2 linked regions of the Tamandua tetradactyla genome follow. The protein of the gene in region 2 interacts with the protein of the main gene of each other region in a biochemical or structural test. Links are inferred from orthologs where the notes say so. Each region holds a gene or a part of one and is shown on either strand. Other genes may lie near its edges.

Region 1 (8,021 bases), on a different chromosome or scaffold from region 2:
TTTAAGCTAAAAAGAGCAGACTGGTGACATAAATACTGTTGCATTGTTGCTGCTCTCCTTGACCCCTCTTGGTGTGTGTGTAGCAGGGGTGGGGGTGGGGTGGGGTTAGAGGGTAGGGGGGGGTGGGACAAAGAATGCTATTTAAAGCTACTGTCAACCAGAGTCAGGTTTAATAATATTGCTATGCAACCTTTCCCTGGAATTAAGCAAGGCCAGTAACATAGGTATCATGAAAGAAGATAAATTCTTTTTTAATGAAGACACATAGAAATATTTTTTTTCATAGGATTTTTAATCTTAGAAGAAAAATAGGAATTGGATATTTTACTTGTGTCCAGTGCACACAAGCAAAGTATGCCAAATGTGATTACTTTAAGGTTTGCAAAATATTTATCTCCTTTTTTTTTCCTGTTTTTTTTTTTTAAAGTGATCCCTTTAATTTTCATGCTAAATTCCATTCTCCTGAATATGGCAAATAAGACCTTTTATAATTTGTTCTCGCTCCCTTATCTAGATTCAACTATGCCCTGCCTCCCACCCCCAGAGAAAATTCTCTATGCACTTACTCTTTTCTTTGCCTGGAATGCCTTCCCTGCCTCATCTGGTCACCCAGTTATCTTTCAAGATGGTAACACCTCTTTCACAAAGTCTTCTTAACTCTTTACCTGAGTTAGATGCCCATGTTTGATGCTCCCCGAGCACTCCGTACTTGTCAGTATTATAGCATTTATCACAATTTAATGTGATGATGAGTTTCCTTCCCCTAGCTATGAATTCTTTGAGGGCATTTTTTTTTTCTTTCTTTCTCTAACATTGTGCCTGACAAAGAATAAGCATTAAGTGAACATTTGTTGAATGAATAGAATTTTCTTCCCAAAATACAGAATCTGAGTGTGAATATGAATCTCAATGAAAGGGACAATGAGAGGCTTAGATAGATTTGGAATTAACCTTGGAATCTGTGTGTATGTAGTAGTATACTTTGAGCACCTAAGATCTTCCATGAGCCTGATAGGGATAATCCTACTGGACAGGTTTAACAGTTTTATTAATTTGAGAGCTTTATATGTATAGAAACTTTAGCATATTCTTGGTGTATGTAAGCACTACAAACTATTAAATAAATAGAGATTATGTAATAATTTGAAAACCCCAAAGCTTGCAACACAAATCAAGATATTATACTCTTTACAATGAGAAGCATATTTGGAACAATTATAGGAATAAACAGAATTGTAAATGCTATGTAATACACAGAATGGACTACTTTGCTTTCCCCTTTTCAGAGGAGTAGTTATTTGGCAGGATTTATGATTTTCAACATTTGGTTAACCATGGGTCAGTCTTAAACAGCACTTACATAGGCTGCCCTTTTGAGTATCTTGAGAATCCTGTTCATAGGAATCAATTATGTGAAGGTTCAATAATGTTCCTTCTCACCCATGTGCATGCTACCCATGTCCATGTCTTTTATTAAATTGACTCTGAGTTCCTTGAAGATGGGGTCTGTTTCTGATTTATCATCATTATCCCCAATGCCTAGCACAGTGCCCGAAAAGATGGCATATACTCCACAAATCCTCCTTAAATTAAAATGAACAATGTTGGAATTATTTTGGGAAGAAAATAGATGTTTATTGTGCAACTTATACAGTGCAAGACATGTCCAACATGCCATCTCATTTAAGGCTCACAGCAATTTCATGAAGCAGGTATTGTGTAGTTGAGAAGTTTGAAGTTCAGAGAGGTAAGTAACTTGCCAAAGATGACTGAGGCCCATCAAAATCCATACTCTACCCAGTACAGTACCCAATAAGAGTACTTCCTTCACTGGGCTGTCATGTAGGTTAAATGAGTTAATATATGAGAAGCACACAGAATGGGTCCTGAAATAGAATAAGTGATATATAAATGTTTGCTCTTGATCATCTGGTTAGTCTGCTGTTTCTCAGAGTAGATGATAAAGAAATATTTATCAATTATTTTTTCTTATCTTGCACTTAATACAAGTGACATCATTGCCAGAAACCTAAATAATAATAGAAAAATCACCCTAAATTTTAGATGAGTAGTCTGACATGTTTAGCATAATAGTTTAAGAATACTGCGTTAAGATTTGTTTTAAGTTTCATCCAGAAGACCACTAGGCCCTTGCTGGGCAGCTTGTATGCCATCAGAATCTATAGATTATGCTTTCTTCCGGTCTGGAGTGAGGAACAGCTGCAGTGTCTTGCCCTTTTGGATTGCATGGGAATGTGCCCAGTTTCCACAGTGGACCCAGTCCAATGCTGAATAGAGATTGAGTTTTAACTTTATCCTCTTTCCCTTTCTACTCCTCAGCCAACTTGGTGTCCTGCATTCCCTTCAAAGTCTGTAATCACAACATCAGTCCAACACAGGACCTGATGGAAGACAGGAGGAGACAATTCACATATGCAGGGCTAAATGCATGTGAATGTTTTTTTATGTTCCATGATTGCCCTCAAAGCATGGAGAAATTTCAGAGTGTTTCTTGGTAGAGTCAGTAAAAAGTTGTATAGATGGTCCATTAACCACAGCTTGACATTTGTCCCAGCTACCCCTCCCCCCATTTCAGTCATAGCTTCTCTGAATTGTCCATGTCTCCTAAGTTCTGTCTTTATAGACAAGGAAAAGCCTGGCCAGCCTGAACTTCATACTGAATGAAACTGAAGTGATAAGGTGTCAGCTCTTCCTACTCTCTAGAACGCTGGGAAGATTTGAGAGACTTGAGCCCATTTTCCTGGTCCCCCACTCTTTGCTGGCTACCCCCAGAAGTAAGTTGGAGCAGGGTAGGATCAGGGGTGAGGACCCTCTCTCCCCCACCACCTCCACACACCTTGTTGGGAGTTTCCTCTGATCAACTAACTATTCTCCTAAGATTGCACCCTGCCAGTGACCTCACACATTTTTCTTGTCTCTATGTAAATTGCTATCTTTTCAGGAGGTGCATGACAGCCTCCGATTGTACGGCCTCCATTTGTACAGAAGCTGTTATTACGGAATAAGTTTAATGGGTCGTGAATTTTGTGGAGAAAGGGAGGGTCTCGCGATGACTTCGTATGTACCAGTCATAGACCTATTGGCTCCATAAGGAGTGCATTAGGCTAAATATTTTTAGCCCATTGACTTTGGAGGTAATAACCCTAAATGCTTCATTAAATTTTCATGGGTGAGCTACAGAAGCTATGAGGAAAAACAAAAACCAAATCCACCACATTAGCTTTATTATTACACAGCTGGAGAAGAGGAGCATAGCCCCTAAAAAGGAATACAAATAAACTTTTTAAGGAACTACTGACTGCCCCTTCCTTTCCTCCTGGCGCCCTGCTCCAGCAAGGTAGCGCTTGGTTTGAGTCCCTACCCTTCCACCCCCCACCCCCCCACTCACCCCACAGCCCCCTGCATCTCGGCCTCTAGAGACAGGAATGGTGCAACAGGCATTTAATGGTGTTGAAGAATTTACTGGAGCTGAAGAATTTTCAGAATATATTTTCTGCAATTTGGCGTTCTTAAGATCTCCGTAAAATATGGCCCAAAGCAGGGAGCGACTGAAGTGTATACGCTGGAGCATTCTCCCGCGCAGGTTGAATTCAGCGATCTAATCTACGGATTGTGTACTCCCAGGCATTCTAAGAACCGGAGCTAGGGTGAATTGGGGCATATTCTCGGGGGTGTTGACTCCTCCCAGGACCGATGAAAACCAGACAGACGCACATCTTTTTTAGCCCAAGTTTGCCTCGGGAGTTTCAGTAACAACAGCAAGAGCCGAGAGCCAGGGTAGGCGGCTGAGAACCAGCGCCCCCTCCTGCAGAGGGGCATGGGGGCAACACAACCCCGTGAGACTTCCCTGATTTTTTTTTTCTCGCCCACTGGCACTTTTTATATATTGGTATGTGTGTGTTTTGAGGCTTGGATAAAAGAGAAAAATGAGGGAGGGTCGGGCGGGGGCTGCTGGTGGTGGCGGTGATGCTGGCGAAACGACGGATACTTTTGGGAACCCGGAGTCTGGTTGCTTTTAGCCCTCCTCCTTCTCCCAATCCTGTCTTCGTCGGCGCAGCTGGGGCGGGGACCCGGTGCTCTCTGATCCACTCACCCCCTTCCACGCCGGGATGGGAAGTGAACGCAGGGGCTCCAGAGACGCGACTGCGAGCCGCGGCGCCCCCGCTCGCTCGCTTTTCCTCCTGGCTGTTGCCACCGCGACTCGCCTAAGCTCTCCGAGCGCGCTCGGGCGGCGCACAGAGCGCCCCAGCGGGAGCCCGAGCCCTAAGGCTGAGGCACGCGGCGCGCCGCGGGACCAAGGAGGTGAGCGAGGCCGCTGGGCGCCGGGCGGGCGCGGGGGGCCTCGGGGCGGGGGCCGGAGGAGGAGGCGGGTCTGCGCGTGGGGCGGTCTCCTCCCCCTGCTCTGACGCCAGGCCCGTGGCTCCCGGGGAGGATGGACCCTGCACCGCGCTCGCCGGGGCTTCCCCGGACTGGAGAGAGCGCCTGAGTCCCGTCGCCCAACCGGCATGGGGAGCCGCTTCCTGGGCGGCTGCGGCAGCGGAGGAGGATGTTGTCGGCGAGCCGAGGTGAGGCGCGGCGAGGGCACGCGGCAGCCCTAGAGTTCAACCCGGACAGGTGCCGGGCGGAGACACAGCGCCCGGACACCTGGCGTGTCTCCGCTGGGGACCCCGGGGCTCCCCTCTCGGGAGTTTGGCAGAGGGCGCTGCGTGGGTATGGCGACTGCAGCAGTTTACCGCTCGCTCCCTCCACTTGCTGGAGTGGGGGAGAGGGGCGACCTCTGCTCCTTCCTCCCGTCCTCTCTCCTCCCGCAATCTCCGTACTTCTGGCCACGCGCGATCCTCTTTCTAGACTTGCTCACTCAGAATTGCTGGGCTGTCTCCGGATCCGCAGCATCCTCCCTCTTGGGGTCCCAGCTCTGTCCATCTACGAGCTTTCCTTCTCCCACCCCAGAACCTCATCTGTGGTCCCGGACCCTGCTCCTCTCTCACGAGCAGCGCACCCAGTCCCGGACGAATCGTATTCTCACTTGCCTGCTACCTGGCAGCGCTGCGGTTCTGCCTGGACCTGTCGGAAAACCGGATCTGTCCTAGTAACCGCCAACCCTTCCATGTAAATATCAGGGCTGGACCCCACGTCTCTTTGGGCCCCAGCCTTCCCTGGGTCCTCCGTCGGCTCAGATCTCTCCGGCTCCTCGGTCCCTCCTTCCTTCCCATTTTTACTTCTCGGGCTCCACGCCATCCCGATACCTCTCCTCTCTAACCCTCCCCTGTCTGCTTCAGACTCGATCGGCCTCGGATGCAGAACTCCGATTTTTGTTTTTTGTTTTTCCTCCTATTGGGGAAACTTTAAATAAATGCCCGTGGTTCGGCGCATAAAGGAGCCATGAAAAGGGGTTCCTAACCTCTGAGAGAACCGGTAGTCAGAGAGTGAGAAATGGGGGGGGAGGGGGGGGGAGGTTGTGTCGCGACGTCTGAAAGGGCCCGGGCGGGTGTAGGAAGTAGTACATTTTTAAAACGGGGGTGTTTGCTGCAGCCAGGACCCTCCTCCCCCACTCGCTCCGTCCCGCCAAGTGTTATTGTGACCCCTGCTGGGAGGGCGCGTCTTTTCTCTGCACTTCCTAAGGCGCGTGGTTTTTCTTTTTCTTTCCTTTTTTTTTTTTTTTGTTTTTTTTTTTTTGGTGCTGGTGGTCAGAACCCGACTGAGGTCTGGGAGAGGGTGGGCACTGACTGCCTCGCGAGACCGATGGCACTTGGCTCCTGCGCAGCTCCTCCCGGCCCGGCCAGACTGTGTACGTTTCACTCCGTAGAAACCACCCCCCAACTGCATCACACAAGTCCTCATTGTTGGGGGTCTGCTGCCTTGGCACTTCCGCCTTGGCGGGGAGAATCTGAAGGAATGGAATGGGGGTGGGGAGGCCGGGGGCGCCGGGCGTCCGTGGCCTGGCTGTTGCCCGAGGGTCCGCAGCCCGCGGAGTGGCGGGTGCCGCCGCGCGAGTGTGTGGCGGTGAGGGTGGGGTGCGTGGGTCGGTGCCTGCGCGTGCGTTTGGATGTCGGTGCACGGCCGTGTTTTAGCGCGATCAGAAAGAGGGGCGAGTCGAGAGCTCGCTGAAGCGAGAGCGCCTTTCAGTGCCCCGGAGCTGGGCGGGCGGGTACCAACTCTGAGATGGATGCTACAATGCAGTTCCTAGCGTACCGGCGGGGAACCGAGCGAGAATCTGCTCTGCTGCTTCTCCACCCACTACCCCCCTCCTGCTCCCCTCCTGCTGGCCCATTAGATGCACTTTCACAATGTTGATGGTTTTGGATAAAGGCCTTGTAGGGGTTCAGCTGACACTTCATAACACTTAACATGTTTTCAAGTAATCATATAAATTAAAGGTAGCTTATGTTCAGAACCCCCTAATTATCCAGTTCGCGTTTGTACATTTATGTGCCAATTATAGGTATTCGGGGGAAATCCATAAAATTATAAACCATCTCCACCCCCTGAATTAGCACCCATTGTTTATTATTATTGTTTTTTTTTAAATCAATCTCAGCGGTGAGTGATTTGGGATGGAACCCCGAGTTTCAGTCAAGAAGATGCAAGGGACGGGGGAGGGAGAGTTTGGAATAGGAACAGTCCCCCCCCCCCCCCCATCTCTTTCACTCCCTATCTTGACAGGGCTTGGTGACAATTCTGGAAACTGAAAGGGATCAAAGATTTTCTTGATTTCCTATTGAGAAGGGCGACCTAATCAAAGCTGTATAAAAGTCAACTTCTGAGCAATCAGAAATTGTCTGCTGATGTCCTTGATTGAAACCCCAGCATTCAAATGGAGTATTGAAGAACTCCCAGAAATGGCTTTTGAAGAGCTATTGTTCTTTTCCACACACACAGACTCTTTTAAAGGTTGTAGGAAGTTTAAAATGTAGTGGTTTGAAAAGACAGACATTGTAACTATTTGGCAAGAATGGTTAGGATCTGCAGGGATGAGAGAAGAGGCCCAGGTGGGAAGAGTAAACTTGTTACTATCTTCTTGGGAACAGTGACACTATCGAGTGGAATTTCAGTTCTACACATGGAATTGGCAATTAAATGTCTTCGTAAAGCAGATTTAGAAGATGATTTTTACTAGCTTTTTATTTTTTTTGGTGGTTTGCTTAAGGTCTGAATAGGCATATCTGAAACATTTAATCATGTTCATTGTATTCAACAATAAAATCTGAATAAAAATTACTTATTGTTGATGAAGCTCATCTTGCAAGCTGTTGCACAGTATGTCTCCGTTGCAAGACACAGGATTGTGTGAGGCTGCCGGAAAGAGATTCTATCACTTATTGTTCATTTTCTCCTCCCAAAGCCAGAGAGGAACATGCTTCTTCACTCCTCTTTGCCGTCCAAAGTAATTTTTCTTAAATGAGTGGGTGTTTGGCTTGGTACCTGATAGTACCCATCTTATAAATTGCATTTGGTGAATTTCTGATGCCCAAAGCCACCCTGCAGGCAGATGAAGAAACTAATTGAGGCAGCATTTCATTTTGATGATTCACTCAAGTCAAATATTTTGTTTTTGGTGGAATTTTAATCTTTCTCTCGAACTAACAAAGCTGACAAAGCAAGAAAATCAACTTATGTCTTTTAGATGGGCACTTTAAAAAGTGACATAAATTAAAGGGGTGTTGTCATGAACTTTCAATCTGTTATTTAGGATTTACTGTGACGAAGGCTGGTGTTCACTGGCTGAGTTAAGTGATTGAATCTAAATCGCTTAATCTCTCAGAATCTCAGTCTCATCATGGAGTTTTGGGCAATTTTTTTTTGTGGAGAAACATTTCATTGAGTGCTTGACGCATAGCAGGATTTCGAGAAAATGGTAGCTTTTAGGAAGGAGAGACGATGGCATTTGGAATTGGAGGACCTGAATTGAGTCCAGCTGCTTCCTAACTTTGTGATGTTTGGCAAGTCACAGTTCTTATTAATAAAAAGAAAAATAATAAACAAATAAACATTTATAGAAA
Region 2 (7,601 bases):
GAAGGTCCCTCAATTTGGGTTTGTCTGGACTTCTCTCTCTTTTTTTTTTTTAAATTTATTTATTAATTAAAAAATAAAGAAACAAAATAAAACATCAACATACATAACCAGTAATTCACAATGGACTTTTCTCTTGATTAGATTCCTGTTGTGCATTTTTGGTAAGAATGCCGTAAAAGTACTGCTATTTCTGCTTCCTTCACAGCGCCACATATCAGAAGGCACATGATGCCAGTTTGTTCCATGTTAACTTTCTTATATTGAATTCGGTTACTTGGTCACTGTGGTGTCTGCTGGTTTTCTTCACTTGAAGTTACTATTTTTCCTTTTTTAATTAATAAATAAGTAATTTGTGGAGAGATATTTCAGGTTTTTTTTTTTTGACAGGAATATATAAGAAATATATTTTACATGGTTACACAGTAAATATGAAACAATACATATTCTTTCCCCATGAAAGTTATTTTAGTTTCTACTTGGTTGTATGTCATTAAAAAACAATTCGGGTCTTGACCTACTAAATTAATTGCATAACTCTTTAATAGGTAATGACCTTTATTTGAAATCACTAGTCTGGTGAAACTATTTCTTTGAATCATTATGGCTCCTAAAAGAAAAAGAGATGGGAAGGAGCAAAAGCGACAGCAAGGAGCCCATTATAAAGATCTTGCCATAATTCAGATGAGAAAAACTAGTAGCTACTGGCAAGAGAAGTGAGTGGACTGAAGAATTTGAATTAACAGAGTTAATGACTGAGTGTACATGGTTGTGGTGGGGGAAAGAGGGTGGAGTCAAGAAAAACAATGGGTTGCATGCTGGTCCTTACAGAGATAGAGAACACTGGAAGTTCGTATGTTCAGGCTCCATTGTGTTGAGTTCCAGGTCTTGGGAATAACAGATTGGAGTTGTCCAGTGGACTGTTGATTCTTTGGCTCTCAGGAAGCAAACTGGGTTGGTCAAATAGCAAACTGAAGTTGGACTTTACCCACTATAATTATACAACTTCATGCCCACTTCAGGCAGGAAGCAGAAGTTGGTTCATGATTGGAATAAATATTCTGAAAATATTTCCAATAATGGATGCCAAGGTGAACATGCAAGGTAATAGACACAAGCCAAAAACATAGGAAGCAAATTGACATAAATTTACTGGAATAAACTTCACTTTTTAGCATTTTCCTCTGTGACTCTTTTAGTTAATTGTGCTGTTAATACCATTCATATATATATATATATAATATATATATTTAGATTTCACCTTAGTGAAATCTAAAGAAATCACGATGCTGGTTTAATCACAATTGTATAAGGAATTAGCCTGTGTCTTGCCGGTTGCTGGTTCACAAGTTTAATTTTTCAAATCTAGCAACGAGCATTTTTAAGTATAAACACCATAAATAAACACGTGTTTGACACAAGCTACACAAGCTGCCTGTTTCTAAATGCCACGAGATTGGGATTTGCGTTGAGAGAATGGAATTTTCTTGTGGCAAAGAATCTGAACGTGTGAGTTAACATCACACTGTTGGGAATGATGACCCTTACTTAGTTAGTGGTCCCCCATGCACACCCTTTTTCTGTTTCCCTCCCTCCTGCCCGCTCTTCCCTCCCTTCGGTTATTCTGGGATTAACCAGAAGATAGGCCCCATACACAAGCGCAGCTGGCTGGTTCTGTCAGCTCGAGCCCTGCTGTGCAACCACGTTAGGAATTTCAGTAAATTGGCAACACTGGAGCACAAAGACAACAACAATTGGGAAAACCCTTCAGTGCAGAAAGGAATGTTTGGAGCCCTGGCTGCTACACACACAAGCACGCGCGCGCCTGCACAGGCTGGCGCTCGCTCCTGCGCGCCCACTCTCGGCGTGCGAGGGAGACCTGCCCCCCGGCTCCCCCTCTCCCCCCACCCCGCACCTAGGGTCCTCGCTCTGGTCGCCCGCTCATCTGCGCACGCCTCCCTAGAGCCAGCAGCAGCTCTTTGTAACTGGGAGGTGCAGAGACGCTCATTGACTATGCAGCGCTGCCCCGGCGGGAGTCGGAGCCGCCTGACCCTGGCGCGGTCTAGTACCAACGCCCCGTCAGCCCGGAACCGGCATAAATCACCCACAGAGACTGAAGTGCAGCATCTCGCCCCTCACCGCTTCCCTCCTCCCTACCCGGGTCATCCCCCCCGCTTTCCAGCCCTCTGCTCCTCGGGTCCCCAATCCTGCCTCCTCCTCAGCACCGCACCGCGCCAGACGCTGTGAAGGGAGGCGCTTTGACCAGAACAGAGAACTCTGAAGTTCCAAATCTAACCAGGAAAGCCCTCCCGCTTTTTCATAATCCTACATTTTTTTAGTTTTGGTCTAAATCTTCTCTCTCGGTCTTTCAAAAGTAACAGTACCTTCATTCCCGCTCCCCTCCACCCCCCACCCAAGTTGTATAAACTCTTGAAAGCCCACGGACGCTGCGAGCTTCAGACTGTTGGGGTCAGCAGAGCCCCAGACAATCGGTGCTCTGGGAGGAGGGGGCAGGTGGTTCCCAGCAGGTCCTCGCTCTTGGGGAGGGCGAGGCGGACCACGTGGAGCCAGAGCTGCGCCTCTACCGCCCCTCTGGCTATGGGAAGACGTCTGCCCTTTAGCACCAGGAATCGGCGTTCAGGCCCCGCTGCCGAGCCGGTTCGCGGTTCAGGGACTCCGGCGGGAGGCTCTGGGAGGACCCCAGATCCGGAAGCACCCCCTCCTCACAGAGAGCTCCCACGGCCGGGGTGTAGGTTGCACCAACCGTCCATCTTTTCGCTCTGGTGTCACGTACTGGCGAAGGACGGTGCTCTGGGGGCGAGTGTAAGGCTCACTCGTAATGTTCTCGGGGGCCGGACCGGCGACGCTTTGAACTCCCTTGTGTTTCTCCCTCACGTAAAGGGACACCAGCACACGGAGATAATGTTCATTCTTTTCAATTTTGCTTCAAAATGAATTGCACTGCAAATGTAGACGCACAACCCAGCCGTGATACCTATACATGTGGTGCTTAAAAGCCAAACAAGGATTCGACCCCTTCCCCAACTTTTCTTTTTTATTAGAGAAGTTGTAGGTTTACAGAAAAGTAATGAGTTTCTATCTACCACCCAATTATTAATACCTTGCATTAGTATGGTATATTTGTTAATTCATGAAAGCATATTTTTTAATAATTATACTATTAACTATATAGTTAAGTGTTTCAAAAGGGTTCATTATGTTGTACAGTGTTACATTTTGTTTCCTAAAAATTTTTATTCTGGTAGCATATATATATATACGACTTAACATTTCCCCTTTTAACCAGATTCAAATATATAATTAATGAGTTATGAATATATTATTCATAAACTTGTGCTACCATCACCACAGTCCATTTCCAAAACTTTACGATCAACCCAAACAGAAACTCTATACAATTTAAGAATTAATTGCCCATTCCCAAATTTTGAAAACACAGGACACCATCTCAGCAGCCTCAAATTTATCAGGGGAAATCCGGGTATCAGAGGGAGCTCAGAGATTTCAAACCAGGAAGGAAGGTGACAAATCTCTCCAACAAACTCTTTTACTTTCTTCACTTCCCTTTTTCCTTCTTCCTCTTTCCCTTCCCTTTCTTTCCACCTTCTCTTACTTTTCCTGATTTTTTTTCCTTCTTCATCTCTTCCTTTTTTCTTTTTTCCCCTACTTTTGACTTTCTTTTTTTTTTCTCTCTCCATTACTGTTTAGTCTTTAAAACTATGTTCGGGAGAGATTATCCTACGCTGTACAGCTGGCTTTGGTGCTAGGGCAAATCCTGCAGAGAGGGGAAGACAGAGCGTGCCCGAGTGCGAGTGTGCCATTTGTGTGACTGAGGAGTATGTATGCACATGTGAGTCACTGTCAGTGTTTGAGTATGAATGGAGTGCGTGTCCCGCGTATAACTGTGAGAACTGCATGTTTGTGAGTGTGACAGTGAGAAATGTGCAACTGTGAATGCGAGTGTGAGTCTATCAGCACATGAATGTGGGCGTGAGTGTGTGTGTGTGACTGTGTGGAGTGTGCATGTGTAAGCGCACGTGTGCTTGAGTCCCCACTCCTCCCGGCGCTGCAAAGTGCAGGGGGCGGGATGGGCGGCAGGCGGCCTGCCCCGCCAGATTCCCTCATGCTAGTTCCGGGGCGGCCCTGCCTAAAGGGCTTTCGGCACTGTCGGGAGGGTGGGGATTGGCGCGGGTAGAAAACCTGATGCCTGGAGAGCCCGGCCGGCTTTTCGTCACCTGGAACCGGCCGAGGTGCTCTACTAAAGGAGCACACGCGAGCGGAGGCGCAGACCTAACTGAGTACGTCGCGCGCCCACCTCGCGGGGAAGGAACGGCGAGGTACAGACCGCGGCGGCAGCGCGCGGGGACCGTCGCGGGGATGGAGCGCCGGGCGGCGGCGGTGGCGGGCACGCTGCTGCTGGCGCTCGCAACCTGCTTGGCGCCGGCAAGAGGCGAAGGTAAGCGCCGGTCAGTCAGAACCCCGCGTTAAGCATTGGGCTTCGTGGGCCGTGGCAGGGTAGAGTCCGCTGGAGGACGTCCCCGACAGCGGGTGGGCGGAGGGGAGCGCGCCCGGGCAGGGGCCCCAGCGGGCGGCGGCGCCGCAGCGGCTCCCACTGGGGCGCTCAGGTTGCCCCTCCAGCCGCAAGAGGCGGAGCGCCCCTCCTTCGCCCAGCTGAGAACTGTGCAGCCGCAAACTTGAGAAAACGTACCCCACGGGTAACCCATCACTGTTCCCACCGGGAATATTCCCGATTCTTTCGGAAACTACTTTGCCGTTGGAACCCAGCAGAATGAGGTTCTCCGCCGCGGATCCTCAGCCTGCTAACCCGCCGCGGATTTATCCTCGCCGTGGCTGAGCGGACCTCTCCCTGTGCAGGTGGAAAACGCGGGCCGGGGAGGATCCCTTTGCCCGCCCAGGGCTTTGGTCTGAAGTATCCCCTCCCCTCGCCCCAGTCACCGGTGGAACTCGGTCCCGCGGTGACCCCCAAGAGACTGCATCTCATGATACAGATCGTTTACGAGCCGAGATAAGGCCGAGATGTGTGATTGGCCGAGAGAGAGCTGATACACAAGAGTATTTTCTTGAAGGGTTTTCATTTCCAACCCGGGAGGTGGATTTTTTCGTGTTGATGAATGGAGCTTGTCTGCGCGACCAGTTTTGGGAGCTAGAAGGCACAAATTTTCTGGTCTGACGTGCTTTAAACTTCAGATTGTCGGAGAGTTTACTTTTTTTGAGAAACAGGAGAGGGAAAGAGAAGGAGAAAGAGAGAATAAAAATAGTAAGAGGGGAAGAAACTAGAGAGGAAAAGGGAGAGAAGGTGCGAGAGCGAGTTTGAAAAGAACGTTGGAGAGAGAAAGAGAGAGCGAGAGCTAGCGAGCGAGCAAGCAAGCGGGCGCGCGCGCGAGACAGACCGACCGGGGATGAATGGGAAGGGCGAAGGGCGAGGAGGAGGCGGGGGAACCCGCGAGCTCTCTCTCTGGCTTTGCGTTGCTAGGTAGCAGCCGGGAGCTGCGTGTGACCCACCATCAGACAGACAGAGTGGGGTGGGGATGGGAGAGTCCCCGCTTTTCCCTCCTTCTCTTCGGACAACTTAATTGCCCTACAATGAAAATGAGACTCCTATTGTTGTAGGATTAACCAAAGCAATAAATTGATTTCCTTGGATCACGTATTGGGGTTGACTGGTGAGGACGTGGAAGCCCCCACTTATGGGGGGGGGGAGGGGAGGGCTTGTGGATGGGCCGTGGCTTGTATTCAAAGAGTTAATCTGCTTTTTCCCCCTCAATTCTTGGCATAAGCTCCTTAGAGGGAATCAAGTAAGTAATTATACAGCAACTCCTAACAGTACCCATTTCGAACTTAACTGGGAAGAAGTAAGTTTGGAAACGCCAATAGACCTCATTGGTCTTTCAAAAATCTTTAACCAAGAACACTTGGTAACACTTGTAAAAGTCTTGTAAACACAAGAAAAATATGCTCATTATCTGGAAAATTTCTTCTGAGATGGAACAGTGCTTTGGGTTATATGTAGCTTATGTCCTAAATATAGTCATAGGATTTACAGTATGTTCTGTCAACGCCCAGCAAAAGGAAATCTTGACTAGATTCCTTTGGTAATGCCTTGGGACAATCAAAATCCAGAACTCTCCACTGGGTTGACCTAGTCATTAAATAATGTGTACTTATGCTTGATAGTTTACATCTATCATTCTCTAGTAAAAATATATAATGATGATCTATATAGCAATAGCAATATATCGCATACTTACATGTGCCAGGCTCTATTCTAAGTACTTTACAGTCACTGACTCAGTTAATTTCTATAATAACCCTGGAAGTAGGTACTCTTATTTATTATCCCTGTTTCACAGATGAGAAAACTGGGGCATAGAACTTTCTTTCTTAAGGTCATACTGCTAGGAAATGGCTGAGCTGTGAGGCAAACCCAAAGAATTCTGACTCCAGAGTCCACGATTTAACTGCTGCACCACAGTATTAGCTTTCTCTATTTTTCTTTTGAATTAAAAATGTCATTCTCCCAGTATCTACATGAGAAGTTCTAAAGTAACTGGGGGGCATTTTGCAAGTCTTTACCAAGGTAAAATTCACCTGCCTCATTAAATATGGATATTTTTAGAGAAACTGTTTACAGTTTTCCCAAATCTCCACATTCCCAGTCTTTTCTACTTTAACTATTTTTAGATACAGCTACTCTAAATATCCTCAGTTAGAAGGGTGAGGGAATTCCTGGATTCTTGTACTGATCCTGATTTATCAGATGACGTAAAGTGTGATGGCATTGTAGATGCCCTTATATCTCCATATTTTAGGAAGGAACCCTACTGCAAACTCGGAATCATTAGAAATTGGAAAAGAACTGCAAATATCTTTGGCAGGTTTTTTTTTTTTTTTTTTAATTATACCACATCTGTAGTGTATTTGCACTTTTTTCATACTTCACATACAGTTTTTTAAGAAAATAATTTGGGTGATCTTGGGCTCTGGAGTCAAGCTGTCTGGATTTGATAATGGCTCCACCACTTTCTGTATGACCTTAAGGAAGTCACTTCACTTACACAAAGTGAAGTATCTGCAAATTGGAATGCCTATACCATGACATTTTATGAGCACAGAACAAGATACAAAGTGCTTAGAAAGGCATAAGGTAGACAATGATTAATAGCTATTTTTATTGTACTAAAACTTTTACCTTCTATTCATACTTCCGGTTTTCAAAAGTACATAGGAATGTTTAAGCACTTTTTACTAACATTTCTTTGAGATTTCCATGTATCCCAGGATATTTGATTTTTGAAAATAGTAATGACGTTAAAGTTATTTTCTTTAATAAAAGTTTGGGTGTGTCCTATTTAGTATAAGTATTTTATGATTGCTACATCTTTGGGTGACTTTTATATATCTAAAAAAGGGCTGCAGGGCCAATAACAACAAAATTACAACTTTTGGATCCATCACAGAGTAGATGGCTTCCCTTTCTTTGCTTGAAGTTCTTCCTTGCCAGTCCATAGGGCTTCTGCCTTAACTCCATTCTACCATGTGCCTGTCCTGTTTAATAGTTATTT

What was found.
Region 1: the proteins of LRP2 (region 2) and DAB1 form a complex in vitro, tested with the Homo sapiens proteins (2 studies listed by BioGRID). The link is inferred for Tamandua tetradactyla from reciprocal best matches to the Homo sapiens genes LRP2 and DAB1.

The regions. Positions count from the first base shown.
Region 1 is NC_135328.1:163,551,426-163,559,446, forward strand, and holds the start of DAB1 (disabled homolog 1), read left to right. Parts: upstream 1-4,457; 5' UTR 4,458-4,586; intron 4,587-8,021. UniProt on the Homo sapiens protein: Signaling adapter of the reelin-mediated signaling pathway, which regulates the migration and differentiation of postmitotic neurons during brain development.
Region 2 is NC_135329.1:140,837,771-140,845,371, reverse strand, and holds the start of LRP2 (low-density lipoprotein receptor-related protein 2), read left to right. Parts: upstream 1-4,221; coding exon 4,222-4,474; intron 4,475-7,601. UniProt on the Homo sapiens protein: Multiligand endocytic receptor. Acts together with CUBN to mediate endocytosis of high-density lipoproteins. Mediates receptor-mediated uptake of polybasic drugs such as aprotinin, aminoglycosides and polymyxin B.